Linked DNA regions of Macaca mulatta. The protein of the gene in region 1 purifies or fractionates together with the protein of each later gene. This does not show direct contact. Links are inferred from orthologs where the notes say so. Each region holds a gene or a part of one and is shown in the gene's direction. Other genes may lie near its edges. The genes, in order: PPP2R2A, PPP2CB, CDCA4 and PPME1.

Region 1 (7,205 bases):
TTCACTTGATGTCACAGAGACATGGCCTGAATCATTCCTCTATATTTAAAGTTAAAATGGACACTGAAATAAGTTTAGATTGTTTCATATAGAATAGAGAATTTTAAGCATTTAGAAAGTACCTACTCATTTCTGTCATTTCTCGTTAAGTAGCTCCTTAAAAAAAGAGGGTGAAATATAGACATTTCTTTTTTCCTTTGAGTTACAACAAATACTTGGGAACTTTTCTTTGTAATTAATATTAATGTTTAAATATGTCATATTTCTCAGGCTACTTTTTAAATATGAGATTTATTTCTAGTTTATCCTTTTTTGACATTAGTAAATACAGAATTGTATAATTCAAAAAACAGAGGCACAGCTTTGCTTTTGACATTGTATAAGTAATATATGATACTATCAAATTTTTAATAATATATGCCCAGGATAACCATATAATTTATCATCAAACCAAGGCATGGTTACACTATGCATACATGTGCATTTATAATTGGAAATAGAGGCTTCAGTCAAATTTATGCCCAGAAAATGGTATTTAAGAAAGAAATAGGCACAGTTTCAGTGTTGTTATCAGTAGTTAATGGACTGAAAGCCAAGAATAGTGATATTGAGATATTGCTGTAATGTTCTTTTATTAGTCTCTTAACTGTGCCATTTTCAAGTGTTTTTGGCCTGAATGTTTTACTCAGGCTTATAAAGGTTATGTGTGCCGTGCCCAGAATGGAGTTTTCCTTTGTCATACCAGTAGGAAAATGTGCCTCCCTGAAGGGCTTGTGTGTTTTGTAAAAGGACAAAATGCCTTTATTGTTACTGAGAAGATTGAGATAAATAGGTTTAAAAGGTTTGTTTGTGTGTCTGTATATGCCCATTTTTTCTTTTTAAAAAGACGGACTTGTTAAATCATTTTCCTAATTTCAGTGTAGTATATTTGTATTTTTTCCCCAGGTGCATGAATACCTCAGAAGTAAACTCTGTTCACTGTATGAAAATGACTGCATATTTGACAAATTTGAATGTTGTTGGAATGGATCTGACAGGTAATTGATTTTAAGTCAAACCTCTCAAATATGAATTTTATAAAGAAAAGAAACTTAATTATTTCATTCCAGGTCCTAACTTCATTTGTCTCTAGGGATTCCTTGAAATACATTTACTAATCTTAGATATAGCACGGCAGTACTGGCAGATAAAAATTAAGCATTGTATTTCACTATTAAATATAAAAGTACACAAATTCTAGGTAATCTAAATTATTTAAACGTCTAGAATTTTTTTTCTTACATGAACCAGATCACATTTCTGACATGCTAACCATTAAAACCGTGAAGCTTCAGCTTGGTTGTTATTCTGCCATTAAACTGTTTTAGAAACATTCGGGCGGCAGATAATTCATTTGAATTGTTAGAGACACCAGGTTTTCCAGATGCTACATTAACACCTCATAGAAGTGGTCTTTCATATGTATGTTATGTATGATGTTAACCATAATATATATGGTTAAAATATTAGGAGTAGTTTTCCTTTGCTTTTTGTAATTTCCAGTTTTGCTGTAGTGTAATTCCTTTTTAGTATACATTTTTAGTAAAATGTTACCGTTATTTAAAGATAAAGTAAGTCTTTGAGTCTTTTAGTTGTCTATTTGCCACTATGTTCCAGTAGAACATAAAGTAGTAAAACATAATTTTTGGAATTAAACTGACATTTAAAGTAATTAGAGATGCTTTAGCAACAGTTTTATCACAGAGCTTAATATGATTCCGATTTCATGGTGTTACGTGTTACAAAGGATAATAGAACTTACAGAATGTCTTTCTTTCGTCTGGCTTTTAAAATTACCTGATTTTTGACATGATGAGAGGACTAGTAAACTATTACTACTAGTAAACTAGTAGAGCTCTATTGGTAGCAAACATTGCCTTTGAGTGCCACTACTAAACCTGAGGCATCAAGAAAGAAGGAAAGGGAAGAAGAAAGAAGGAAAAGGAAGAAGAAAAAAAAAACATTAACAAATTTGAAGAGTAAAGAGATACTGAACTAGGGTGTGGCACACAGCTACAACTAGTTCTTCCTTGTATTGTTTAAGCAGATTATTAGCAGTTGTATGTTCTATTATCAGAAAGAAACTATTTGTTTTCCTTAATATTAAAAAATTTTTTTAAATTATTTCAAACTTGGAGAAAATTTGTTAGAATAACACAAAGAACTCTTGGCCAGCCTTGACCCAAGTTCCACTGTTGCTGTTTGCTGTATCACGTGGTCTATCCTCTGTTTGTTTATAGCTATATTTGTCCACATAGGTACATGCGCACGTGCTCACACACACAACTTGTGTGCTACATGGGAAAATACCCCGTTTACTCTAGATGTGATGCCCATAACCCTAAATTCTTGAATGAGTATTTCCTGACAAAAACACTTCCCAACATAGTGCAGCATCCAAAGCAACATTCACAGCGATGCAGTACTGCCCTCTAATCCGCAGACCCACTAAAACTCACCAGTTACTGTAACTGTGTCTTTTATGGCACAGAACAAAGTCAGTCTGGTTCAGTATCCAACATTTAGTTGTCATCTCTTGTTAGGCTCCTTTATTCTGAAACAGTTCCTCAGTCTCTCCTTGTCTTTTGTGATCTTGGCATTTTGAAGAACACAGGCCAATTATTTTACAGAATGTTTCCTCGTTATTAGATTCAGGCTATACATTTTTGGCAGGAATACCACAGAAATGCTGACCTAATGATACCTTTTTAAAGTTTCAAATAGCCACAGACTAAATGTCCTAACCCATTAAAACACACAGATGATATGGGGATGTCAATCTAAATTACATGAGCCATTTTTAAAGAAATACAGTTTTATCATGTTCAGGGGCATGCATTACCTTGAGTTTGATTAAAGTTGTCGTCAAGTGTTCTTTGGGAATTGACGTTACTAAATAGATAATCATTTGTACTCAGTAGGTGGCCTTTGTATGTAAGTATTACTTTGAACAATTCCCCAGTATCCTGTAATCCTTATTTACAATAATAATTTGAACCATGTGATAAGCAGTGGTAGCAGACCCTTTCCAAATTATTAAGAGCTTCAAACTTAGGAAGTTTTGTTTGTGAGGATACTTAATAAATGTCGAGCAGTAATGGCTGGCAAATAGAACTGACAGGGAAGTGTCTTGGGCAGCTTAAAAATTTTGCCACCCCTTTAAACTGATACTTCTACAAATATTTGCTTAAAATGTTTTTAGTGGTGAAAGTAAAATGATGTTCTGTTAATAAAATATTACAGCCTGGGCAATGTAGCAAGACCCTATCTCTACAAATTATTTAAAAATTATCTGGACATGGCAGCGTATGCCTGTAGTCACAGCTACTCAGGAGACTAAAGTGCAAGGACTGCTTAGCCCAGGAGGTCTAGGTTGTGGTTGCGGTGAGCTGTGATTGTGCCACCACATTCCAAACTGGGTGACAGAGTGAAACCCTGTCTCAAAAAATATATATATATATATACACACACACACACACACACACATATTATGTACCACTTCTCAGGAGCAGATTATAAGCCTTTATTAAATGTGATTATCTGAACCAGACAACACCCTGAGAAGATAATTGTTTATTTATTTATTTACTTATTTATTTATGAGACAGTGTCTCACTCTCACCCAGGCTGGAGTGCAGTGGTGCGATCTTGGCTCACTGCATCTCCGCCTCCCAGGTTCAAACGATTCCCCGGCCTCAGCCTCCTGAGTAGCTGGGACTACAGGCACGTGCCACCACGCCTGGCTAATTTTTGTATTTTTTTGTCGTCGTCGTTTTGTTTTGAGATGGAGTCTTACTCTGTCGCCCAGGCTGGAGTGCAGTGGTGAGATCTCGGCTCACTGCAAGCTCTGCCTCCCGGGTTCATGCCATTCTCCTGCCTCAGCCTCCCGAGTAGTTGGGACTACAGGCACCCGCCACCACGCCCAGCTACTTTTTTTGTATTTTTAGTAGAGGCAGGGTTTCACTGTGTTAGCCAGGATGGTCTCAATCTCCTGACCTCGTGATCCGCCGGCCTCGGCCTCCCAAAGTGCTGGGATTACAGGCATGAGCCACCGTGCCTGACCCAAAAAATGTAAATCATAAGATAAAGCATTGGTTTCTTGTGAACAGCTACAGCTACTTCATGCGGGGTTCTTTCATTTTAGAACCTGTGAGTTCCACGGATAGTTGCTCCTTTGAGAAGCTGCCTGACCTGGTTGATCACATAACCTGTAGTTGCAAAACTATTCAACAAAGATAATTCTGCACTACTAAGAAGTTTTACTTGAGGATGCTGTCAACTTCGGTGATAGTTTTGGTAGCCATGAAAAGGAATAATAAGCAGAAAACTCAGTTAATTAGTACCATATTTTGGTTTATTCCGGTGATTGAGTTGATGTCAACAGCCCTGTCCCTTACTTTAAATCTGCTTGAAGTAGCTGTTTCCTATGGTTTAATCACTGAATCATTTTACTTAAAAACAATTTCTTGTTCTGCTTGTTTGACTGAGTGTACTGTCTATTTTCACAGCGTTGTCATGACTGGATCTTACAATAATTTCTTCAGAATGTTTGACAGAAACACAAAGCGAGACATAACCCTAGAAGCATCGCGGGAAAACAATAAGCCTCGCACGGTTCTGAAGCCTCGCAAAGTCTGTGCAAGTGGCAAGCGAAAGAAAGATGAAATAAGTGTTGACAGCCTAGACTTCAATAAGAAAATCCTTCACACAGCCTGGCACCCCAAGGAAAATATCATTGCCGTAGCTACTACAAACAATCTGTATATATTTCAAGACAAAGTGAATTAGGGTTGGCATTCCTAGCAGAAGAACCCACTTCCTGCTTAGTTGAGATAGTTGAATCTAGCATTCGTTCCTATAAAAGAGAGAGGTCCATTGTGGCGCCCCTTTCCAGTGTTTGACAGTGTGCCATTCGACAACACATTGTTATAGCTACATGGAGAAAGCTCTGTGGATTCATCACTGTGGTGTTCTCCATGTCTGCTAGCCATTTAGGTAAGGGTAGGGCACTTTTAATTTAAATGACTTCTTGCACCATCTTGCCTAATGGACTAGATTGGACTGTATCAACATTGATTTACTCCACTTTTTATGCCTTCCATTGTGATGACGTCAAACACAGTGAAAGCCTTCAGTCATGCTATGGGATTTAATTGTGTATCCTCATTACTGTATCATTTGTGGGGTACACCCCTTCCCCCTTTTTTTAAATTAAATACAGCTCATTCTTACTGTGGCTTGTAGCATTCCTCCTCTTCTGGCCTCCTGGACTCCTCCCCTTCATCTCTCTTACCCTTGCCCCCTCCACCCGGTCTTGGTGGTGGTATATTAAAAAAAGAAAGAATGAAAGCACACAAAATGAGTCAGTTTGGGGTCAGTGGTATAAAGGGGGTATATGTTGCGAACAAATGTTTTAATAACAGTTGGCTGTAATCACTCCTCGCCGTGTCTGGCACTGAAAATAAGGAAAAAAAAAACCTACTACTGAATAAAAGTGACAAAGAATGGAGAATCTGGTTTTCTTTTTCTTTTTAACCTACCTCTTGTAGCCAATATTTTGTGTCATACCTTTGGGCACAGTGAAACAAAATGGGTTTTCATTGTTTTATTGGTATTTTTGTTAATTATTTTTAACAAGTGTTCTTTTACATGCAGGAGGAGAGGTATTGGTTCTCTATGAACATGTTTTGAATATATATTGGTTTTATTAAGGATTTCACAATCTATAAATGCTACTAGTTGTTTTTTTTCTATTTACCGTCATCATGAGGGTATTGGATACGTTGTATCTCTATTTAACTCATTATCTGTTAATGAAATTGTTGTAAATGGGAACCAAATTTGTAGAACTTAATTTCTACTTTTTACAGTGCTTAATTTCATTTTTGCCTTACTAGTCAAAGACTTATACAACATTTTTAACAAGTTAGAACTTTTTTTGTCATTCAGTCATATAAAATAGCAGAAAACTAACATCAAGTGACGACAATGCACTAAATACTTTTTTTGTATTTTACTGCTATCAAATCAGAATGAAATATACTTTACCATAGATATTTTTCTTCTATTTTTGGTTTTCCAAAGCTATATTAAAGACAAATTTTTAAAGGTACAGCATTCAAAAAGTGCTTAATGAACTCCAACAGCTGCCTCAAAAATCTGTATATGAGTACATTTTCCCTAAGCAGTGATACATTATCCAAAGATGAAGAGTGCTCCTATTTTTAATAGGTAGAATGTACCTTTGTCAGTCTTGCAGAAGCTTTAATGGAGAAGAAATGGACTTTATTTTTGAAAGGTGAAATGAACAGGCATTTATATTATTAGAGAATGGTAGTTTTATTTTGGTTGAACGTAATGTAACAACCTTGAATTTCAGAGGACTCTGAGTGCTTCTATGTCCACTACCTATTGTTCTATTCTTCAGTAATGAAAAAGAATTCAACGAGCCGACCGTGATTCCCTCTATTACAAATATTATGTCTTGTAAGTTAGCATTTTTAGCACACAGGAGAAATTTTATGTAATAAAATTACTGTATCTCTTGGATTTAACAAATTTGTATTTGAACACATTCTATGTCTGATAATTCTTAATGGCACTTTTACTAATTTATTTGGGGATCTTGGGTACATTCTTAATTTGTGTTATTTATTCTTCACACTTGACTTGGAAGTGGGATATTCCCCTGTCACAAGTGTCCGACAGTGATAGACTTCCTGTGTTGTGACTGGACAGTTTTCCAGATCTTTTTTGGGAGATTTTCCTACAGTTTGGTTGTATGTCTTGAGATAACACCACTAAACAGCTCTCAAATTCTTTTTTGATTGATCAGTAGCTATGATGATTCTCCTCCATGACACTAAGGATTAGTTTATATATTTAAGAGAAATAATTGCTAAAATTAAAATGCCTCTATCAAGGAATGCTATTATAAATTATTGTTAACATTCTCAAGTATTAATTTTTTAATCTCATTGGTGTAGCAAACTCTAAGCCCAGCCACTCATTTTACATGGCCATGGTTAATCTTTTTATTAATAAAAATTATACTTAGAATAAACTTAGTCTTGTCAAGTTGCTTGTATTTCCTATTCTCTTGCCACTAATACATGCACATACTCCATCTCTTAACCTTTTAGAAGAGATTGTGGTAGGAAAAGGAC
Region 2 (7,205 bases), about 4.5 Mb from region 1:
TATACTGGTGGCCAAAAGCGCCGTGTTTAACAATGGGTCGGAGACTAATGTACTTCACATGACACTAGTAAAAATGGGATTTTACTATGGGTTTTACTCCATTTCTTCCAGGTGCGTTATCCAGAACGCATTACAATATTGAGAGGAAATCACGAAAGCCGACAAATTACCCAAGTATATGGCTTTTATGATGAATGTCTGCGAAAGTATGGGAATGCCAACGTTTGGAAATATTTTACAGATCTTTTTGATTATCTTCCACTTACAGCTTTAGTAGATGGACAGGTATGTATGTGTGTGCTCACATCTTGGGAGGAGGGGAGGTAAATGAAGGCAAAGATTGACTATTGGTAAGCTAGGGTCTAGATTCATATGACCTGTGTTTCTGCATCTCCTTGGCCTTTTCCTCCTTCCCTTATACTTTTTTTTTTTTTTTTTTTTGAGACGGAGTCTCGCTCTGTCGCCCAGGCTGGAGTGCAGTGGCGCGATCTCGGCTCACTGCAAGCTCCGCCTCCCGGGTTCACGCCATTCTCCTGCCTCAGCCTCCCGAGTAGCTGGGACTACAGGCGCCCACAACCGCGCCCGGCTAATTTTTTGTTTTTTTTTTTTTTAGTAGAGACGGGGTTTCACCGTGGTCTCGATCTCCTGACCTTGTGATCCGCCCGCCTTGGCCTCCCAAAGTGCTGGGATTACAGGCGTGAGCCACCGCGCCCGGCCCCTTCCCTTATACTTAAAATTTCAAAGCAGGGAAGTGGATAAGTTTCACGTACATTTGGACCAGCAAATTTTCCTGTTCTCAGATATGTATGTAAATCTTTTGACCAAAGAATATGCTGTGCTTTTTAAGATATCGATAAACATTATAAATAAATGCTTAAGACACTGATGTGTAGTACTAGTAAAGCAAGATGTTATTTAAAACTATCTCTGCGTATACACACAGTTTTTGCTGGTTACCATGAATAACTTCGCATTTCTATTTTCATGGTAATTGCAAATGTTATATTGTGTATTACACCTTCTTCCCTGAGAAGTGAATGCTTGGCTGGGCACAGTGGCTAGTACTTTGGGATGCCAAGGCAAGAGGATCGCTTGAGTTCAGGGGTTCAAGACCAGCCTGGGCAATGTAGTGAGACCCTGTCTCTACAAAAAAAAATTTAAAATTAGCTAGGCATAGTGGCGCATGCTTGTGGTTCTAGCTACTCAAGAAGCTAGAGGTGAGAGGATCTCTTGAGCCCAGGAAGTTAAGGCTGCAGTGAGCCGTGATCACAGTACTGTGCTCCAGCCTGGGCAGCAGCAAAACTCCATCTCAAAGAACAAAAAAAGAAAATAGAAGCAAATGCTATTTCTGCAGTGCAGACAGATCATGAAACATTCAAAAGTATAAGAAGAAATTATGCAAATTTCCTATTTCAATTTCTAGAGATAATCACTGAAAGCATGAACTGATTTAAATTTAAATATAAAACAAAGGCTGGGCAAGGTGGCTCATACCTATAATCCCAGCACTTTGGGAGGCCGAGGTGGGTAGATCACCTGAGGTTGGGAGTTCAAGACCAGCCTGGCCAAATGGTGAAACCCGTCTCTACTAAAAATACAAAAATTAGCCAGGGATGGTAGTGCATGCCTGTAGTCCCAGCTACTTGAGAGGCTGAGGCAGGAGAATCACTTGAACCTGAGAAAGACAGAGGTGGCAGTGAACCGAGATCGTATCACAGCACTCCAGCTTGGGTGACAAAGTGAGACTCCATCTCAAAAAATAAAATAAATATAAATATAAAACATATAATAAAACTCCATAATTCTTAAATTATAAAAGCCCAGAGTTGTCAAGAATGTGATGAATTCTCTCTTAGACTGCTTGTGGGAATATAATTTGGTTATAACTTTCTCTGTGTAATCCTGACAGTCTTTTTTTCTCAGCTGTGATTTTGGACACTGCCATGATTAATTTGAAAGGACAATACTTTGCCTGGACTTGTTAAAAGAAAATGTGAATTTAAAAGATGTTAAATTTTAATTAAAGTTGTTTTTAATTGTTTTGAAGCACACAGTCCTCAATAATAAAATTGCTGGACAGAATGATTTTTAAAAGACAGTCTTATCAGTTTTAATGAAGTATCTGGTTTTTTAAATGGGTGCGTTAGTAGAGCTTTTATTTTTTTTTTCCTTCCTCCTTCCTCTCTTTCTGAAAAGTTACTAGAAAAGAAATAATAGTGGACAATACTGATCTAGAAGAAAAGAGGGAAGGCACATAAAACACTAGGAATGAAATAAGGCGTAATTATAACTGTGCAGGAGCTTGTGTATCACAAGAACAGGTGCAGCTTTAGTGCACTAAATTTAAAAAGTTGAATGAAGCTTACTATATTAAAATACCAGTTATTAAAATTGGCTTGCAGAAGTTCGTCCAATATAAGTAAACTACCAATAGCAACCAGGTATAAATAGTTTTATAGGCTAATTCTACCACACCTTTAAGGAACGTATAATTTCTGTGTTCTAGAACTTGGGAAAAGATGGAGAGTTCAAAACTGACACCATATGCCTAGTATAACCTCAGTGCCAAACCAGACGTGGCATGCACAGAAAAATAGACCAAAATCATTTGGAAAAAAAATTCCTATATTTGTGATTCAAAACTCAGTTATTTTATAAAATAATAATATTAAGTGGATAAAGAAATACTGGTTGTACTATCAGCTAAACATTAGAAACCTTCTCATCAGGCCAGGTGAGGTAGCTCACGCCTGTAATCCCAGCACTTTGGGACGCCAGGGCGGATGGATCACCTGAGGTCGGGAGTTCAAGACCAGCCTGACCAACATGGAGAAATTCCGTCTCTACTAAAAATACAAAGCCAGGCATGGTGGCACATGCCTGTAAACCCAGCTACTCGGGAGGGTCAGGCAGGAGAATCACTTGAACCCAGAAGGTGGAGGTTGCAGTGAGCCGAGATCATGCCATTGCACTGGGCAACAAGAGCAAAACTCCGTCTCAAAAAAAAAAATCAAAATCAGAAAGAAAATGCTTGTTAAAACTTATATTATTCTCTCTGATTCAGAATACCTAGAGCATGGATTTGAAACTAGGTAGTTTACAAAAAACAAAACAGAAACATTTGTATTACTCCATTTTATTTTAGAAGTCCTGGCCAATGCACTAAGCAATAAAAAGAATTAAAAGGTGTAAACATTGAGAAGAAAAACCAAAAATATTTTTGCAGATGACTTGATCATGTACTTAGAAAATATGAAAGAACTGAAAATTTATTGTAGCCAGTAACAGGAATTTGTTGTAAGAGGAACAAAAAATTGTGTATATCAGCAATAACCAACAGAAGCTGTAATGACAACTGGGTACAGTGGCATGCACCTGTAATCGCAGCTTCTCAGGAGGTTGAGGCGGGAGGATTGCTTGGGCCCAGGAGTTCATGGCTGCATTGCATAGTGATCATGCCTGTGAATAGCCACCGCACTCCATCCTCAGCAACACAGCAAGACTCCATCTCTACAGAAAGAGAAGAAAGGAGGGAAGGAGGAAGGGAGAAAAAAAAAAAAGAAATTTAATGGTAGGTCCCAAGGATGGAGATACCATTGGCCAGAGAAAAGGAAGGGAGGAACGGTGGGAGGGAGGGAAAAAAAAAAAAAGAAATTTAATGGTGGGTCCCCAAGGTTGGGGATACCATTGACCAGAGAAGGGGTAAAAAAGAAAAAAAGATGAACAAAATGTGTTTAAATGTTGGCATTATTTGGACTGACACTTTTAACCATTATTTACTCTTTGTTAACTGTTAGCAGTTAGTAAAACAAATACATTCTCTTTTGTTAATTCATAAACAGATATTCTGCCTCCATGGTGGCCTCTCTCCATCCATAGACACACTGGATCATATAAGAGCCCTGGATCGCTTACAGGAAGTTCCACATGAGGTAACCTTAGTTTAAAAAAGAAGAAGAAAGGAAAAGAAAATATAACCACATTTTGAGGACGATAAAGTATGACTGATAATAATTTGTAACATGTACTTATTTTTCTTGGTCAGGGCCCAATGTGTGATCTGTTATGGTCAGATCCAGATGATCGTGGTGGATGGGGTATTTCACCACGTGGTGCTGGCTACACATTTGGACAAGACATTTCTGAAACCTTTAACCACGCCAATGGTCTCACACTGGTTTCTCGTGCCCACCAGCTTGTAATGGAGGTATGTACTTTCCTTACAGAATGATCTTTATTTCAGATTAGCATATACTTCTGTAATAAGGCATTTTGACTTAACTAAGAAACACTCCTCACCATTTATTACCTAGGTGAAAAGAGGAAAAACTTGCTGGTTTTAGCAAGTAGGGAAAGCACTAGTAGACCGGAGCAGAATTATAACTCATTTTTGAAATTGAGACTTAGAAAAAAGTTACAAAAATAATACCCCAGAATTCCCTGTATGAGTCATTCAAATTCCTGACTGTAAATGTTTTACTATATTTGCTTTATCATTTTGTGTCTCCCTTCCTCTTCACCCCCCACACTTTCTTCTGAACCATTTGAAATCTATTGCAGACAAATACTCCTTTACTACCAACTTTCTATGTGTATTTTGTAAAATTAAGGACACGCTATCACATAACCACCGTATAGTTACCACAGTTGCGAAATTTGTGTTCATATAGTACTATTATTTAATATGAACACTTTATTCAAATTTTACTAATTGTCTCACTAATGTCTTTTATAGCAAAATTTAATTTTGTGCATACTGTATGTGTATAATCTAATCCAAAGATTAGGTTGTGTTCATTCTTCTTTGATGTGGAAATCCTCCGATTTTCTTTGTTTTCCACATTCTTGACATTTTGGAAGAGTAGGAGCATTTTATCTTACAGAAATATCCCTCAGTTGGGGTTTGATGTTTTCCTTGCAGTTAGGGATTCACTGTATGCATTTTTGGCAGTCATGCCGTAGAAAGATGGTGTGTCCTCCTCCGTGCATTTTATCAAGTGGTCCTAAAATCTGCTTGTCTCAATGCTGGTGGTGGCAACTTTAATCACTTAGTTAAGATGATGTCTGCCAGATTTCTCCACTATAATGTTAACTGTTTTACAACTACTAAGGGAATATAAACAACATAATCCCTCCAGACCAGTAGGGAGTGGCTTCAAGATGTTAGAGAAAACTTCACCAGCCCAGTAGAGACAAGGGAGCATGATAAAAAAACACAAATTTATATAGAAAAAATAAATTTAATTATATCAGTGATTATAAGAAACAGACTAAAATTTTAGCCTGAGACTCTTAGATTGGATAAATAGTCAAAATGTAGCTGTTATTTGGGATGTACCTAAAACATAAATGACTGGCTGGACAAAGTGGCTCATGCCTGTAATCCCAGCACTTTGGGAGGCTGAGGTGGGAGGATCTCTTGAGTCCTGGAGTTTCAGACCACCTTGGGCAACATAGTGAGACCTCATCTCTATAAAAAAAAAAAAAAGTCAAAAAATTAGCTGGGCATGGTGGCATATGTCTATTGTCCCAGCTACTCGGGAGGCTGAGGTGAGAGGATAACTTGAAGCCAGGAGGTTGAGGCTGCAGTGAGCTGTGATCATACCACTGCACTCCAGCCTGGGCAAAAGAGTGAGACCTTCTCTCAAAAAAAAGAGGGGGGAAAAAAAAAAAAAAGACACTACAAACTAGAGGTAAGAGTTGGGAAATGGTATATTGGTATATCAAGTAATAAAAATATCAAAAATATAGCTAATAGGCTGGCGCGGTGGCTCGTGCCTGTATTCCCAGCACTTTGGGAGGCTGAGGCAGGCGGATTGCTGGAGCTCAGGAGTTCAAGACCAGCCTGGGCAACATAGTGAGATCCCGTCTCTACTAAAATACAAAAAAATAGACTGGTGTGGTGGCGTGCACCTGTTGTCCCAGCTACTCAGGGGGCTGAGGCAGGAGAATTGCTTGAACCCAGGAGGCGGAGGTTGCAGTGAGCCTAGATCATGTTACTGCACTCCAGCCTGAGCAACACGTGTGTGTGTGTGTATGTGTATACATATACACATACATGTATATGTATACACACACGTAACACTAATTAGCATGTATATATATACACACTATATCTAATACTAATTATAGCCAATAATATGAATGAGATAGGCTCAAATAAAAGGTGTTGTTAGAAATAAAGAGGTTATTGATGAAATCTGTCCCAGTTCTCTAGGAAGAAAGTATTCTAAATTTGTATTTACGTAGTAATAGCTTCAAAATATATAAAGAATAATTGGCATAATTCATGAGGGAAAATTGAGAGATTTATTAGGATTGTGGGAGAAATTCAGTACACATCCTTGCCAAGATTTCAAGCATAGTTAAGGCAAAACAACAATTAGCGAGCTGCATTTAACAGAATCCTAGGCCCACGAATTGCACAGGGTTCTGTACAGGTACACAAACTATCAAAGATGGCAACCTTATAAAGTAATATAGACGACTACATTTCCACAGAGAGTGCCTGTAGTTTTTGAGTTTAGTTTTTTTTTAATGTATCTGTGTCAAAATCATATTATTATAATGAAATATTGAATTTGTTTTTATCCTGCAGGGATACAATTGGTGTCATGATCGGAATGTGGTTACTATTTTCAGTGCACCCAATTACTGTTACCGTTGTGGGAACCAGGCTGCTATCATGGAATTAGATGACACTTTAAAATATTCCTTGTGAGTAACTGTAAATTTTAATTGTATATACTTACTTTCAGAAGGAAAATTTTAAATGTTAAAAATAGAAGATTTGTGTTTCTGAAATAGTGGGATGAGGAGTATAGCAAAGCCCCCAACCAGCAAAAACCACCATTAGCTGGAGAACATTACTTTTAAAAAATAATTTTTCAAAGCTTTTGGAAATTCTCCTAAGGGCATACAGCAGATGGATAAACAGTTAATTCAAGAAAACCTACTAAATCTCAATAATAGCCGTTGTCTGTGGCATTTGAGCTATGACTTGCTCCCTCCAACTCCTTCCAGATCCCTCTCACAGAAACGACTACAGGCGCTGTAGTCTGGGTTGGTACAGTCAGGAGGCCAAGGGATTCCCCCTTTTTACCAGCTCCCAGGGTTGGGACTGTGGTTTCACTCGCAGAGGTCAGATGCCAGCATATCTCACCTCTCCTAGTCTGGAGTTACAGAAGCTCTACTCTTGGTGGACG
Region 3 (7,726 bases), on another chromosome or scaffold:
ATAGTATTTTGTAAGGTTTCAAAAATATCCTGGGATTTTGACTGGCAATAGAGTAAATGTGTATATTCATTTGGGAAGTAAATGAACTCTGGACTCAAGCTCAGTGACACATTTTCACCAGCAATACCACTATCTGTGACTCCAAGAGAACAACTGGAGTCTCCGCATGGCCTCTCCTGGCCCCTGCCTCATGCACCTCTTCCCTTGGTTAATTTTAATGAGCCTTTTCATGGTAATAAACCATAACCATGAGTACAATAGCTTCTAGGGAATTCTGTGAGTCCTTCTAGTGAATTTCAAACTTGAGGGTGGTCTTGGGGCTGTTCCTAACTTTGCACTTGTATATTTAGTTTGCTAAAGATTATACCATGAAGGGGTATTGAATTTTACTAGATGTTTCTACACTGAGATTTTCATACTTTTTTTCTCCTTAATTCTGTTATGAATCATGTTGACCTTGCAATGTGAAATCAACTGTACTCCAATTCCTGGAGTACACCCAACTTGGTTGTGATGAGCTACCTTTTTCACATTATCACTGGATCTGATTTGCTAATATGTGGTTTGCAATTTTGAACTGTGTTCATGAGAGAGAATAGCCTGTGTGTTTTCTCTCATCACGTCCCTTTCGAGTTTTAGTATCAAATTTGTTAGCCCTGTAGAACAAATTGGTAAGAAGAGTTCCCCTTTATCACCTGGAAGACTGTGTAAGACTGATGCTGCTTCTTCAATTTGAGTCTTTTTTTTTTTTTTTGAGACGGAGTCTTGCTCTGTCGCCCAGGTTGGAGTGCAGTGGCGCCATCTCAGTTCACTGCAAACTCCGCCTCCCGGGTTCACGCCATTCTCCTGCCTCAGCCTCCTGAGTAGCTGGGACTACAGTCGGCCGCCACTGCGCCCGGCTAATTTTTTTTTTATATTTTTAGTAGAGACGGGGTTTCACCGTGGTCTCGATCTCCTGACCTTGTGATCCGCCCACCTCAGCCTCTTAAAGTGCTGGGATTACAGGCGTGAGCCACCGCACCCGGCCTTTGAGTCTTTTTTTTAATGGATTCTAGTTCTCCTTGTCATCAATTTTCCTGAATACATTAGTGTTACTGAAAAATATGACTCCAATCCTGGTGTAACCATAGACGGCTTCTATGTTTTCTTTTTCTGGTCCTATGTCCTAGCAAGCCTGTTAATATTTTATGACTACAGTTAACGGTAACTTACTGCATATTTTCTAATAGGTAGAGGAGAGGATTTTGAATGTTCCCAACACAAAGAAATGATGTTTGAGGTGATGGATACGCTATCTACCTTGATGGATCATTATACTTTGTATATATATGTCGAAATATCACACCAAATCTCATCTTGAATTGTAGCTCCTATAACTCCCATGTCATGGGAGGGACCTGGCGGGAGGTAACTGAATCATGGGGCAGATCTTTCCTGTTCTGTTCTCTGGATAGTGAATACGTTTCCTGAGATCTGATGGTTTCATAAAGGGGAGATCCCTGCACAGACTTTCTTGCCTGCCGCCATGTGAGACGTCCCTTTGCTTTTCCTAGGTCTTCAGCCATGATTGTGAGTCCATTAAACCTCTTTTTCTTTATAAATTACCCAGCCTCGGGTATGTCTTTATTAGCAGCCTGAGAATAGACTAATATGCTCTGGAAGATATTATCTTACTCCAGACATTATTTTTAGATCTTTGCCAATTTGACCTGTGGCAAACGGCACTCCAGCACAGCTTTAATTTCCACTGCTCTTGTCTGCCCAGGCTGGAGTGCAGTGGTGCAATCATAGGTCACTGCAGCCTCCAACTCCCGGGTTCAAGGGATTCTCTCACCCCAGCCTCCTGAGTAGCTGGGATTACAGGTGGGTGCCACCATGTCCAAACCACTTTTCTTTGGTGATCTAGATTTCATTTGCAGAATATCTGTATATTAAGGAATTTAACCTTTATGTGGGATACAGCCAGGAAAACCTTTTTTCCCCATTAGTCTTTTCACTTTGATATGCATAAACTTTAAAGTCTCAGGTAGTCACCTTTGTCAAGTCCCATTTTCTTTTACCTGGAAAATAACCTAATAGGATTTTCTACTTCCAGCCTTCCTGCCGCCTCCTCCAAATCTTCTACCAACAGTGATTCTTGGTGGTTGTAGTGACTCATGCCTGTAATCCCAGAACTTGGGGAGGCCAAGGTAGTTGGAGCCAGGAGTTGGAGCCCAGCCTGTGTAACAAGGCAATACTCTGTCTCTACAAAATTACCAAAAAAAAAAAAAAAAAAAAAAAAGGTTAGCTTGGTGTGGTGGCACACACTTCTGTAGTCCCAGCTACGTGGGAAGCTGAGGCGTGAGGATCACTTGAGCACAAGAGTTCGAGGATACAGTGAGCCATTATCACGCCACTGTCCTCCAGCATGGGCGAAATAAACCCGTTTTTTTTTTAAATAAGAACAGTGATTCTTTTCAAGCATAATTCAGATCCCAGTTCCTTCTCTGCTGACCGTCCCAGTAGTCTCCATCCCACTCAGAGAACAGCCTCAAAATCACTCCACCTCTCACATTTAAACTTTCCCACGAGATCACAGGGTTCTTTTTCACTGCACTGAGACTTCTTCCTGCCCCTGCCTCGGGCTTTGTCCTAGCCATTCCTCTCCTGGAATACTCTTCCACTCTTCCTTTTGGTGCTTTAAGACGCCTCTTATCCTAGAGACCTATGTGAGCAGCGCCCCAACGTCACTCCCAGCTTTTTCCGACAGCATTTCAGCATTAACCACTGACCTTGGCGCATCCGCATCTGCGGATTCAGCTGAGGATTCCCCCACCACCAGCACAGGGTTCTCAGCTGCAGCCACGCCTGCCGGGCCTGCTGCAGGCGTTCAAAGAATATTAGACTCTTGTATCCTATTTAAAACCTTTTCCACTAAGAGATTTAAAACACGTGTTTCCCTGCTTTCTACTTTCACGTTACATTTCTTACGTGTAAACCTGGGAAGCCTCTAGAGATAACCGCGGTTTCTGGAGAGGCTGGGATAGACTTCGGAGCCCAGGCCGCCCGGGAACTGCCGTTCCCGGCTCCTCCCCACCCCGGCACGGATCCCTCGGCAGAGAAGTTAACCTAGGCAGAAGGGAGAGAGGATCAGCCCCTACCAGGCTGCCCCGCCACGCCCTCCCGAGGGCACCACGTGGGCCCCCAGCGCAGGCGCATTCAGTTTAGGACCCGACGTGCGGAGACCTGCGAGCCGGCGGGGCTGGGCGGGGCCGGATTGGGCGCGGGGAGACCTGGGAGCCGGCGCGGCGTGGGCGTCGCGGGGCCCGGCGCGGAGGCGGAGGCGGGGGCGGGGCGACCGAGGGCGCGCGCGAGCCCCAACGGCCGTCGCCGCAGCGCGGGAACACGCGCCGCAGATGCCCCGCCCGCGCGGGTTTGAACAAGAGGCCCCGCCCCCGGTCCGTGGGTGGCCAATCAGTGGGCACGGCGCGCGGAGGGCGCAGCGTCGACCCTTTGTGGACGCTGAGTGGCGGTCGCACGCCCCGCCCCGCGCCGGCGGGCGCTCCTCCCTCAGCGGCGGGAAGCTGGTGGCGGCGGCGGCGGCGGCGGTGGCGGCGGCTGAGCAGAGGAGCCGGCGGGCGGCCTCGCGGGTCAGGTGAGCGGGTCTGGCTGACCGCGAGGGCGTCTACGGCGGCGCGCGCGTTTGTGCTGCCGGGCGCGGAGGAGCCCGGGGGCGGTACGCGGAGTCTGTGGCTCCTGGCGCTGGCTTGGGTCCGGGGCGGAGGCGGCGCTCAGGGTTCCCGCTGGGGCTGCCGCGGGCGCCCTCGCCGCCCTCCTGGGCGCTGGTTCCACCGCGGGGTGGCCGCTGCTGAGGGGGCCCGGGGAACCAGAGGGGCCCGGGCCGCCGTCTGCGTTCCATGCGGATTGCGGAGCTGGGGCTTCGTCGAGGCCTCCGGGCGGCCCCACACGGGAGCGACTTCGCGAGGGCCCGGCTGGGGTACGCAGCGGCGTTTCCTGTACCTCGGCTCTAGTTGCCGCGGAGGGAACGCCGGGCGCGCCCCGCCACGGCCGCCCCCGCCCTGTCCCCGGCCGACCTCACTAACCGGGCCAGGGCGCGCTGCAGCCCCCTCAATTGGATCCCGGCCGCGGAGAGGGCCGAGGATGTGGGAGGAGGCCCAGACCCCGGGCGGGTCGGCCAGCGCCGTCTTTCCTGGGCTCCTCCGGCGTTCCGAGGTGGGATTAGGAAGAGTCCCCGAGACATTTGCAGAAGTCAGAGGCAAGCTTCCCTGCGCGTTTTCAAACGCTTCTCGTCCAGTAAACAGGATCGTCGTGACAAAGGCTCCTACAGCTTGCTGGAATAGAGGGTCTCCGCTGCCTCGCCTCTCCTGTGGCCTTCGTGTGGGACTCACGAGACGGCAGGACCCAGATAACCGTTCTCTCAAAGTGAGCCACAGAAAAACATCGCCTGTTCCCAAAACTTAGGTTTTATAAACTTTCTACGTACAACCACTCTATTTTCAAGTGTCACCATGTTTTATAATTAGGGTGGAAATCAACACAAAGTGAGTTACACCCTTTTTCTAGGAAGAGTGGTAGGCTTTATCTTAGAAAAGGGGCCAGGAAGTTTCCCTCAACTTGCCATTGGAACATGTTTTCAGGGAAAGGAAGGTGTATCGTTCCAAGTAACAAAAGTACCTGAAATTAGCTGGGCGCGGTAGCTCACACTTACCAGCACTTTGGGAGGAGGCCTAGGCGGGTGGATCACCTGAGGTCCCCAGTTCGAGACCAGCTGGCCAACATGGTGAAACCCCGTCTCTACTAAAAATACAAAAATTAGCTGGGCGTGATGGCGCATGCCTGTAATCGTAATCCTAGCTACACGGGAGGCTGAGGCAGAAGAATCACTTGAACCCGGAAGGCGGAGGTTCTCCAGCCTGGACGACAGAGCAAGACTCCGTCTCAAAAACAAAACAAAACAAAAATAACCCCTGAAATTAACGTATCAGTAATTGTTCAGGAACAGCCTCCAGCAGACTGTAGTGGAAGGTGGAGCTCCCACTCAGTAGATCTCAAGACTGAAGACCTTGCTCCTCTTCTTCCTGTTTTTCCGATAGAGTATTTCAAAGCTTATCTGATGTGTGAGAAATGGAAATTGTTGATAATTTGCTTAACCCGAAACTTCGAAGTGGCTGCAAGTCCAGCTGTGAAGGTGACAGGTTAGGTCAGAGTTGAGTCTGTCCCCAGCAGTCCCAGCCCTATTGGTCAGAATCTGGGAATCTGCATTTTCAGCCAGCCTCATGGGATTGCTCAGCCACGAAGGTGTGGCGGCTGCTGCTGTAGTGAAGGGCCGGTCCCTCAGCTGTACTCTGCTTGCCTGAGTAGCACTGCGGGGCTGCTCTCTGCTGGCCTCTGCCTCCGTGGGCTTAGTTTACTCTGTCCCTAGTGGCCTGTAGGCTGTCCCACCTGCCATGTCAGACATATCTTCAGTCTGTCTGACCCTCTTGGTTTTTCTCTTTCTGGTTGATGCTTGGTTTAGAAGCCTAAGGGCGGTGCTGGGAGTTGACTGAGGGGTGAACGCCTTGGCTGTCCCGTTGACACCCTGTGGAGTTGGTGGGATTTTAGGCATTTAACTAGATGTGTAGAAGGAGCTTCAAAACTGAGCAGGGGGTCAGGCATGGTGGCTCACACTTGTAATCCAACACTTTGGGAGGCTGAGGTGGTCGGATTGCCTGAGGTCAGGAGTTGGAGATCAGCCTGGACAACATGGTGAAACCCCGTCTCTGCAAAAAATACAAAAATTAGCCAGGTGTGGTGCCACGTGCCTGTAGTCCCAGCTACTCAGGAGGCTGAGGCAGGAGAATCGCTTGAACCTGGGAGGTGGAGGTTGCAGTGAACTGAGATTGCATCACTGCACTCCAGCCTGGGGGACAGAATGAGACTCCTTCTTAAAAAAAAAAAAAATTGAGCAGGGAGCTAGGCTCCACAGCCCCGCCCGTATGGTATAGGGCCCTTCCTTCCATATTAGAAGGAGTTAAGCAGCCTCAGGCCAGAGTCACACTGGAGGCCCTCAGGGAGCTGGGCCCAGCCCAGGCATCCCTCAGGGCTGGTCAAGATGATGCTCTTGGTGACTTTGTCCCAAACACAGATATGGCCCAATTCAGGGTGATCCTCACAGGCCAGCTTCTCCGGGCCCAACCTTATCCTCTTCACCCCTGAACGCACGTTGTGGGTGACAGCTCTTAGGGGTCACGCGACTGTAAAAAACACCTGTGAGCTTTACTCCTTTTTGTATTAATAGTAATAAACTTGTTAGCATTTTAAAATATTGGGTACAACACAGAATTAGCTGCTGGAGATTTGGAACATTGGACAGCAATGATTTGAAGTGACTGAACAGGAATATTCTCATGGTACCAGAATGGGATCTGTGGATGGGATGAGATGCAGTGGAGGATGATGGAGATTCTCTCTCGTCCCTTGTAGGACTTATATAACCCAGGCACATCTACGCAGGTCCCTGGGTTACGCAAGTGCTACAAGGGGCGAGAGAATCTCCATCATTCTGGAGGATTCCCTCTGGCCCCTTGTAGCATTTCCCACCCGGATGGTGGCTACCCTTCTGTGTTTTCACAACTTCCATTAACTTTGCCTGTCCTGAAGGTTCGGATCAATAGAATCCTACAGTACGTATTTTTGTGTGTGTCTTGCTGCTTTTATTCAGCATAATGTTTTGAAATTTATCCATGTTGCATAAATCATTGAGGTTTGTTGCTGAGTTGCATTCCTTTGTCAGAATACGCCAGATCGTGTGCATTCAACTTATTTTAAGTGTTTTTTTTTTTTTTGAGATGGAGTCTCACTCTGTCGCCCAGGCTGGAGTGCAGTGGCGCGATCTCTGCTCACTGCAACCTCCGCCTTCCGGGTTCAAGCGATTCTCCTGCCTCAGCCTCCTGAGTAGCTGGGACTACAGGCATGTGCCACCCCACCCAGCTAATTTTTTGTATTTTTAGTAGAGACAGGGTTTCATCGTGTTGACCAGGATGGTCTCAATCTACTGATCTTGTGATCTGCCCACCTTAGCCTCCCAAAGTGCTGAGATTACAGGCGTGAGCCACTGTGCCCGGCCTGTTTAAGTCTTAAAAGAATGCTTGTGGCTGGGTGTGATGGCTCATGCCTGTAATCCCAGCACTTTGGGAGGCTGAGGTGGGCGAATCACTTGAGGTCAGGAGTTCGAGACCAGCCTGGCCAACATGGCGAAACCCCGTCTCTATTAAAATGCAAAATTAGCTGGGCGTGGTGGTGCACACCTTATAATCCTAGCTACTTGGGAAGTTGAGGCAGGAGAATTGCTTGAACCCGGGAGGTGGAGGTTGCAGTGAGCTGAGATGGCACCACTGCACTCCAGCCCAGGCGACAGAGTGAGACTCCGTCTTTTAAAAAAAAAAAAAAAAAAGAATGCTTACAACTGAGAGAGATGAAACTAGGCCAAGGACCGCCACCCCTCCCCAGGAGCCTCTCTGGAGGCTCACACCTGCTGGTCCTGCCCTTGAATAGACAGAAAAAAATGTTCCCTGTTTTCTGAATTTCCTTTCAGTGTGATAGATCTCACTGACTGTGCATTTAACACTCCTAAATTTTATAAAACGGTTATTTCTTGGGCATTTTTCCAAGAGAAATGAAAAACCAATGTTCATGCAAAAACATGTTCTAGAGTGTCCTTAGTAGCTTTATGTGTAATAACTCCAAA
Region 4 (7,205 bases), on another chromosome or scaffold:
CCTCAGCCTCCGAGTAGTGGGGACTACAGGCGCCCGCCACCACGCCCGGCTAGTTTTTTGTATTTTTAGTAGAGACGGGGTTTCACCATGTTAGCCAGGATGGTCTCGATCTCCTGACCTTGTGATCCACCCGCCTCGGCCTCCCAAAGTGCTGAGATTACAGGCTTGAGCCACTGCACTGGGCCAAGACCACTTGTATCAAGTCTTTGTTCCTGATATTTTCCAGTGGCCTCTGGGCAAAGGCATTATAGTTTTGACTTCATGAAATTACTCTGAATTCACAATACCCTATGCCAAGGGGAGATGGCTTTACCATTTATACCTGAGGTTGCAATTTTTTGAATTTTTGCAATCAGAACTTGGTGATGACCTTGGGCAGTAGAATATAAATAACTCTCACATGCTTAGTGTTCCAATAGTGCATAAATTGGTTAACCCATTGAAACATTGAAAATATGTAATATGTAGTAAGAAAATGCAGCTCTTTTTACTTGGTAGAAATGCAATAATATATTTACTTGGTAGAAATGCAATAATATATTTATAGACCCAGTGAGATTAATTGATTAATACAGACCCTTCTAGACAGGGCTGCTGAGGGATTACATTAGGTGATGTTATAAGAAAGTTTTATAGCACAACTGAAAAAGAAGCACTGAATAAGTATTAGTTCTCTTTTCTTTCCTTCATATCATTTTGTCTCCCGGAGAGAATTTTGTGTTCGTATAGAAGCAGCACTAGTGTCAAAGAAGCTTGGACTTTTCATCTTAACTATTTGTTATCGCTTTGGATGACTGCCTGAACTGCTTCACTTTCTGTCTTAATCTTAAATTTAAGTCCGAAGGAATATTAAACCATTTGTTTTCACTTACAAAGTTTGGTGGCCTCCCTATCTCCCATTCAGATGGTCTACAATTGCCGAGGCTACCCTATTCACTCCTGCAATTGTTGTATGAGATTTTAAAAATCAATTCCTACAGAACTAATAACATTTGCCTTTGCCATTATGAATACTGTAGAGATTATATATGAAAGTCTGTGTTCCTTCATTGACACTTGCTATATTTGGTTAACACTGTGTGAGTGCGCTTAAGGTATGTAATGACGCTCAGCAAGACAAAACTTTCTTTTGAAGTTGAACCAGCCACTCCCAAAAGAAGGGAGTAGAACTAGCCTAAAATATATATATCTATAATAAGGCAGTAGAGCCAGTGGGTCTCCAGAAACACACCTTACTGTTCTTGTCCACCTATTGCTATAGCAAGGAAGGCCTACATGCAATTAAAAACCAAACTTCATACTTCAGTTCTAATTTTCAAAGCTTTAAAATTGGTCTTTGTCAAACAGATCCATTCATAATTGAAGACTAGAACCAAAGCCAATAAAATGAGCTCTGAACACCTTTCTAGTTTCTCAGAGCACTGTACTTACATTTATGTTGATCCTTCAAACAAATGAGAAATTGTAAATAATAATTAACATTTGTGAAGCATTTTACTCTTTCGAGGTGTTTTTTTGTTCACCTCTCAGTTAATCCTCAAAGCAATCCAGAGCAGTCAGTGATATTTTTCTCTTTTTTTATAAATGTTGAAACTCAGTTTCTGAGAGATTAAGTAACTAATCCAAGATCACATAGTGAAAAATAAACTGAGGCTGGGGCTCATCTTGTGATCTCGAGGTTTACTACATTATAATGCTTAATAAATTTTTTTTCTTGTTTTATAGATGGGAAAATTGAAACAGAGCAGTTAAATGATTTTTCCAGAGTTTGAATCTTAGGTTCAAAATAAAGGTATATGTTTACGTAATTGTACTACATATGTGGAACAGTGAAAGTGTGATGTAAAGGAAAATTCAGTAATTTGGGTTCTTAGTCCTTTACCTGCCATTTATCAGGAGAGCTAGGTGTGTGGCTACACATATTGATACTGGGGGCATGTTAGAAGGTTTACATAGGTATGTTTGTAAGATGGCCCAATAGACTTTTACAGTTTCCCAGAACTGTTACACACCAAAGGAAGGAACTGGGAAAGAAAACCGTTTTTATAGTGTTGTCCGAAAGCATTCTTATGTATTTTTCTTCTCTTTACAGAGATGTTGGCAATGTGGTTGAAGCCATGTATGGGGACCTTCCTCCTCCAATTATGCTGATTGGACATAGCATGGGTGGTGCTATTGCAGTCCACACAGCATCATCCAACCTGGTACCAAGCCTCTTGGGTCTGTGCATGATTGATGTTGTAGAAGGTGAGTTTTCTTAGCACGGACCAAATCAGGATTTCACTTAATAAGAGACATCCATGGTAGATTATTACCTTGTCTTAGTTTATTGTTGATTTCATTCACCTTGAAATATGTCCCTCTGTCTTTACATCCTTTTTAAGTTTATACAAGATAACCGTTTTTCCATGTCATCAGAAACTCTTCATTAACATATTTTTATGACTGCATACTATTTCAATCCTATGTATGTTCCATAATTGTATTTAATCATATAAAAAGAAGCTGCCATGTCTTTTCTGACCGAGCTTCAGAAGTCACACTGCTGCTTGTGAATATAAGTCATCCTCTTCAGTGTGAGGGCATGACATAAAGGAGTGAATACCCCAGAGGCAAAAATTATTGAGGGCCATGTTTATTTCTCTGCAAGCATCACTAAATTCTGCTGTCATCAAGAGCAGATATATAGTAATTGACTCAGTGAGTGTAAATGCTCAGAAAATATGTGGTTACAGTTTTTGTTTAACATCCAGGTACAGCTATGGATGCACTTAATAGCATGCAGAATTTCTTACGGGGTCGTCCTAAAACCTTCAAGTCTCTGGAGAATGCTATTGAATGGAGGTAACCAACAAATCTTTGTCACCTTTATTTAATTAATTTGTTTGTTTGCTTGCTTATTTACTTATTTATTTATTTATTTAGGAGACAAGGCCTCACTCTATCACCCAGGCTGGAGTGCAGTAGCATGATCCTAGCTCACTGCAACCTTGAACTCCTGGGTTCAAGCAATCCTCCCACCTCAGCCTCCCAATTTGCTAAGACTACAGGTGCACACCACCAAGCCTGGCTAATTTTTAAATTTTTTGTAGAAACGAGGTCTTGCTATGTTGCCCAGGCTGGCTTCAAGTAATCCTCTTGCTTTAGCCTGGCCTCAAGTAATCAAGTAATCAAATTCCTGGCCTCAAGTAATCCTCCTGCTTTAGCTTCCCAAAGTGTTGGGGTTACAGGCATGAGCCACAGTGCCCAGCCACTGTTGCCTTTATTCTAAATGTTAGATTGTAGCTTTTCTTCTTTTTTAGGTCAAGCGCCAAGTTCGAGGAATAGAATTTCAGTTGCCATGCTTTATTGTAATAACATATGAGGAAACATTATATAAACAGCAGAATTTTTTTGAATATTTAAAAATATTTTAGATTTGGCTCAGTTGTCTGAAGCCCATTCTTTTCCCAATACACTGTAGTGCCTCCTGGAATCTTAGTAATTATTGATCATCTGCTGGGTCTAGCTGTTTCTGCCTCTGAGGTGAGAGGTTAGACTAGGTGGTTTCTAAGGCCTCATCCACCTCTGACGCTCCATGGTTTTAGATTTACTTGCTGTGTTTCAGATAAAATGGTGGAGAAATGGAAGATGGCTATAGGTTCCATTCCCTCACGTTTATTTGGATTTTGGGTAAATAAACTCAATGGGTAGTTTTTATAAAAATCAGTGTCAGAATTCCATTTAAGCAAAGGAATGAATTTATTCATTAATTCAGTTAATCATTTGATAAAGTATTTATTAAACACTTATTTTGTGCTAACAGGTGAAGATTCAGAGAGGAATAAAACACTATCCCTTCCCACAAGGAGATCAGTCTTTGGATAAATGTCTTCATCATCCTATCTTCCTTCCTATTCTTCTAACTCTATCTCCAGTCCCTTCTTCAGAACATTTTCTCTTAAGTTCTCCAAACCACCCAGATGACTCTTTCAGCAAAATTACTAGAGACCTTTAAGTCTCTATTATATTGCACTGTATACCCTTAAGTTTTCCAATCCTCCCTTGAGGGATATGGCTCATATTAATTTTTATTAATGTCTGTCTTAATGCCCTTCCTGCATCATAAGGGAAGAAGCTATTCTGTATTTCTTTTTTACTTTCATATAGCATATGGCAGACTGCCCTAGCAGGCAGAATATATCTGTTAACTGAATCAGATATCAAGTGGAAATTTAGGACTTGGTAAATATATCCTAGGAGTTTTCCTAGGACAAAGGGTCTTATGCAAGAATATGGCTTGTCAGAATGATGTTTGTGTTTGGTGAAGTTGTTTTTACCACTTCCTGTTCACTACTGTGATGCAGGATTCCTGTTCTTGCGGAAATATCAAAGATCTCTCTATCTTGGGCAGACAGCATCAAGAATGTAGCTGCTGCCAGCTTGGCTTGTACCTCAGGTGCCCTGCCTGCTTCCACAATAACAACCAGTGAGAAAGTTATTCTAGAGTTGGCTCAGTTGTCTAAAGCCCATCTCTCTTTTATCCATACTTTTTTTTTTTTTTTTGAGACCGGGTGTCACTCTGTTGTCCAGGCTGGCGTCCTGTGGCGTGATTACAGCTCTCACTGCAGCCTTGACATTCTGGGCTCAAGCGATCCTCCTGCCTCAGCCACCCAAGTAGCTGGGACTACAGATGTGCACCACGACGCCCAGCTAATTTTTGTTTTTTGGGTTTTTTTTTTTTTTGTAGCAACAGGGTTTTATCATGTTGGCCAGGCTGGTCTTGAACTCCTGGACTCAAGCAGTCTGCCCGCCTGCCTCGGCCTCTCAAAGTCATGGGATTATAGGTATGAGCCACTGCATCTGGCCGTTTCCAAACTTTAAAATTTATTCGGTAAATTTTTTTTTCTAGTGCCTAAGATGTGTCAGTACCTGATCTAAGAACTGGGGGATGAATCAGGCTCAGTTCCTATCATCAAAAAACTGGGGATGCAAACAAGGAGATGGATAAACACAACACAACGAAGGAAGCCAGGGGATATAGAAGAAGGGTACCTCATGCAGCCTGGGTATCATGGTAGGCCTTCTCTTAAGGTAGAGTCTTGTTTCTTTTGCCAGATACAGGATAGCATAAGGGTTCTGTTTGTTAAATGTTAAGATACTGGGTTTCATGAGAGTCATTGATTTTTCTGAACCTGAAAATTGTTATACTATGAGGTATTTGGTAATTTTGTTTTTTATTCTGCTGGATATCTGAATCAGGTTTATGACCGATGGCCATTTTGGCTATTCCAGATTTTTTTTATGTTGCGATATAAAGCCAGTTAATTACTGCTTTTGCTCTCATAGGTTTCCTAATGAGAGGCAGCAGGGGTATAGTCATTAAGAACCTGGGCTTTAGGCCAGATGTGGTGGCTCACACCTGTACTCCCAGTGCTTTTGGAGGTTGAGATAGGAATATCACTTGAGGCCAGGAGTTTGAGACCAGCCTGGGCCATATAGTGAGACCCTGTCTCTACAAAAAAAAAAAAAAAAAAAAAATTTTTTTTTTAATTAGCCGGGTGTGGTGGCATGTGCCTGTAGTCCCAGCTACTCAGGAGGCTGAGGTGGGAGTATTATTTGAGCCCAGAAGTTCAAGGTTACAGTGAGCTATGATGATGGTACTGCACTTTAGCTTTAACAACAAAGTGAGACCTTGTCTTGAAACAAAACAAAAAAGTTAGGGGAAACCTGGGCTTTGAGGTCAGACAGATACAAATTTGCATCTTGGTTACACCACTCTGGCTGTTCTGAGGAAAATCGAATAGAAGAAGAAGTGGGGAATAAGGTATGAAGTTGGTTAGGAGACTGTTGTAGTATAGGAGAGTAAGAATGGTAAACATAGACTAGGATGGCAACAGAGGAAGAAAGAGTCATTTTTTAATGTATTTTCAAGGTAAAGCTGACAGGACTGGTTTATGGATTGGCTGTTGGGAGAGAGACGGGGGAGGGCAGGAAGGGACTTAAGGATGACTTCTAGGTTTTTAGCCCAAGCAATTGGATGAATGGTAGAAACAGAAAGAAGTAGATATGGGAGCAAATAAGGGGCAGATAATCAGTTTTGTTTGGATAAACTCAAATGCTTATTACATATGTAAGTGGAAATGTTAAGTAGGCAATTGTATATACTAGTTAGAAGATTAGAAGAGGCTGAACTAGAGATAAATTGGAGAATCGTCATCACATAGTTAATATTTAAAGGTGAAAGATTGAATGTGAAGACCTAGGAACTTGATATTGATAGGAAAAAGATCCCAGACTGAGTCTTGGGATATTCCACAATATTTAGAGCTTGGGAGGAAGAGGAAGATCCAACAAAGAAACTGAAGAGGCACAGTTGATGAGGTAAAAGGAAAACCAGGTGAGTATAGCAAGTGTTTGTAGAAGGAGGGAGAGAACAACTGTGTCAGATGCTGCAGAGAGATTAAGTAAGATGAGGACCAAGAAATGACTGTTGGAATTGGCATGATAGAAGTGACCTTGACAAAATAAATATCTGAAAATAAATGGGAGATAAAAATCAGATATAAGTTGGGGAAAGGATGAGAGGTGACAAAGTAGAGAAAGCAAGATAACTCTTTTGAGGAGCTTTGCTATGTAGGAGAGCAGAGAAATGGATTAATAGGTAGTAGTGAATGTGGCATTGGGAATGTTTTTAAAGGCTGGATAGTAGAGTATGGTTGTGATATCCACAAGAGAAAAAAAGTGACACAAAAGAGAGACAGGATAACTGAAGGAAACAGTATCTTTTCAGAGGCAAGAGGGGATGGGAACTAGTGCCCAAGGTTGGCCTTCATTGGAATAGAGATATTTCATGTATTAAACAGGCATCAAGGCAGAGTATATTATTATTGGTGAATCTGTTTATTCAGTTGGTAGTTAAAAGACGAGGTAATAGTTCTGATTGCCTCAGTTTACCATTAAAGTAAGAAATAATGTCATTATCTGAGGAGGGGGGCTTTAAAATTTTGAATGATTTTTTAAACTAAGAAATGAGATTTAAAGAAACACTTTCTCCTGGTGGCTTGCTTCAGGCAGTGTTTCCAGTTCCCCCTGGGAATGCAGTCATTTTGCTTTGCCCTAAGTTGTACTTAGGTGGACAAATGTGAGAAGCCTAATTTATTCAGATAGCCTCAACTCTGTAGCACAGCACACAAGGCCCTGGAGAAGCTGGTGCCTGCCTACCA

The links.
Region 2: the proteins of PPP2R2A (region 1) and PPP2CB purify together in Homo sapiens (affinity purification with mass spectrometry; 8 studies listed by BioGRID and IntAct, counting the BioPlex papers as one, with this or other methods). This does not show direct contact. The link is inferred for Macaca mulatta from reciprocal best matches to the Homo sapiens genes PPP2R2A and PPP2CB.
Region 3: the proteins of PPP2R2A (region 1) and CDCA4 purify together in Homo sapiens (affinity purification with mass spectrometry; 4 studies listed by BioGRID and IntAct, with this or other methods). This does not show direct contact. The link is inferred for Macaca mulatta from reciprocal best matches to the Homo sapiens genes PPP2R2A and CDCA4.
Region 4: the proteins of PPP2R2A (region 1) and PPME1 purify together in Homo sapiens (affinity purification with mass spectrometry; 3 studies listed by BioGRID and IntAct, with this or other methods). This does not show direct contact. The link is inferred for Macaca mulatta from reciprocal best matches to the Homo sapiens genes PPP2R2A and PPME1.

Annotation. Positions count from the first base shown.
Region 1 is NC_133413.1:28,108,160-28,115,364, forward strand, and holds the end of PPP2R2A (serine/threonine-protein phosphatase 2A 55 kDa regulatory subunit B alpha isoform), read left to right. Parts: intron 1-945; coding exon 946-1,037; intron 1,038-4,547; coding exon 4,548-4,827; 3' UTR 4,828-5,548; downstream 5,549-7,205. UniProt on the Homo sapiens protein: Substrate-recognition subunit of protein phosphatase 2A (PP2A) that plays a key role in cell cycle by controlling mitosis entry and exit. Involved in chromosome clustering during late mitosis by mediating dephosphorylation of MKI67.
Region 2 is NC_133413.1:32,579,419-32,586,623, reverse strand, and holds part of PPP2CB (serine/threonine-protein phosphatase 2A catalytic subunit beta isoform), read left to right. Parts: intron 1-111; coding exon 112-285; intron 286-3,842; coding exon 3,843-3,932; intron 3,933-4,045; coding exon 4,046-4,207; intron 4,208-6,598; coding exon 6,599-6,717; intron 6,718-7,205.
Region 3 is NC_133412.1:178,451,088-178,458,813, reverse strand, and holds the start of CDCA4 (cell division cycle-associated protein 4), read left to right. Parts: upstream 1-3,555; 5' UTR 3,556-4,140; coding exon 4,141-4,422; intron 4,423-7,726. UniProt on the Homo sapiens protein: May participate in the regulation of cell proliferation through the E2F/RB pathway. May be involved in molecular regulation of hematopoietic stem cells and progenitor cell lineage commitment and differentiation.
Region 4 is NC_133419.1:74,645,686-74,652,890, forward strand, and holds part of PPME1 (protein phosphatase methylesterase 1), read left to right. Parts: intron 1-2,092; coding exon 2,093-2,247; intron 2,248-2,753; coding exon 2,754-2,844; intron 2,845-7,205. UniProt on the Homo sapiens protein: Demethylates proteins that have been reversibly carboxymethylated. Demethylates PPP2CB (in vitro) and PPP2CA. Binding to PPP2CA displaces the manganese ion and inactivates the enzyme.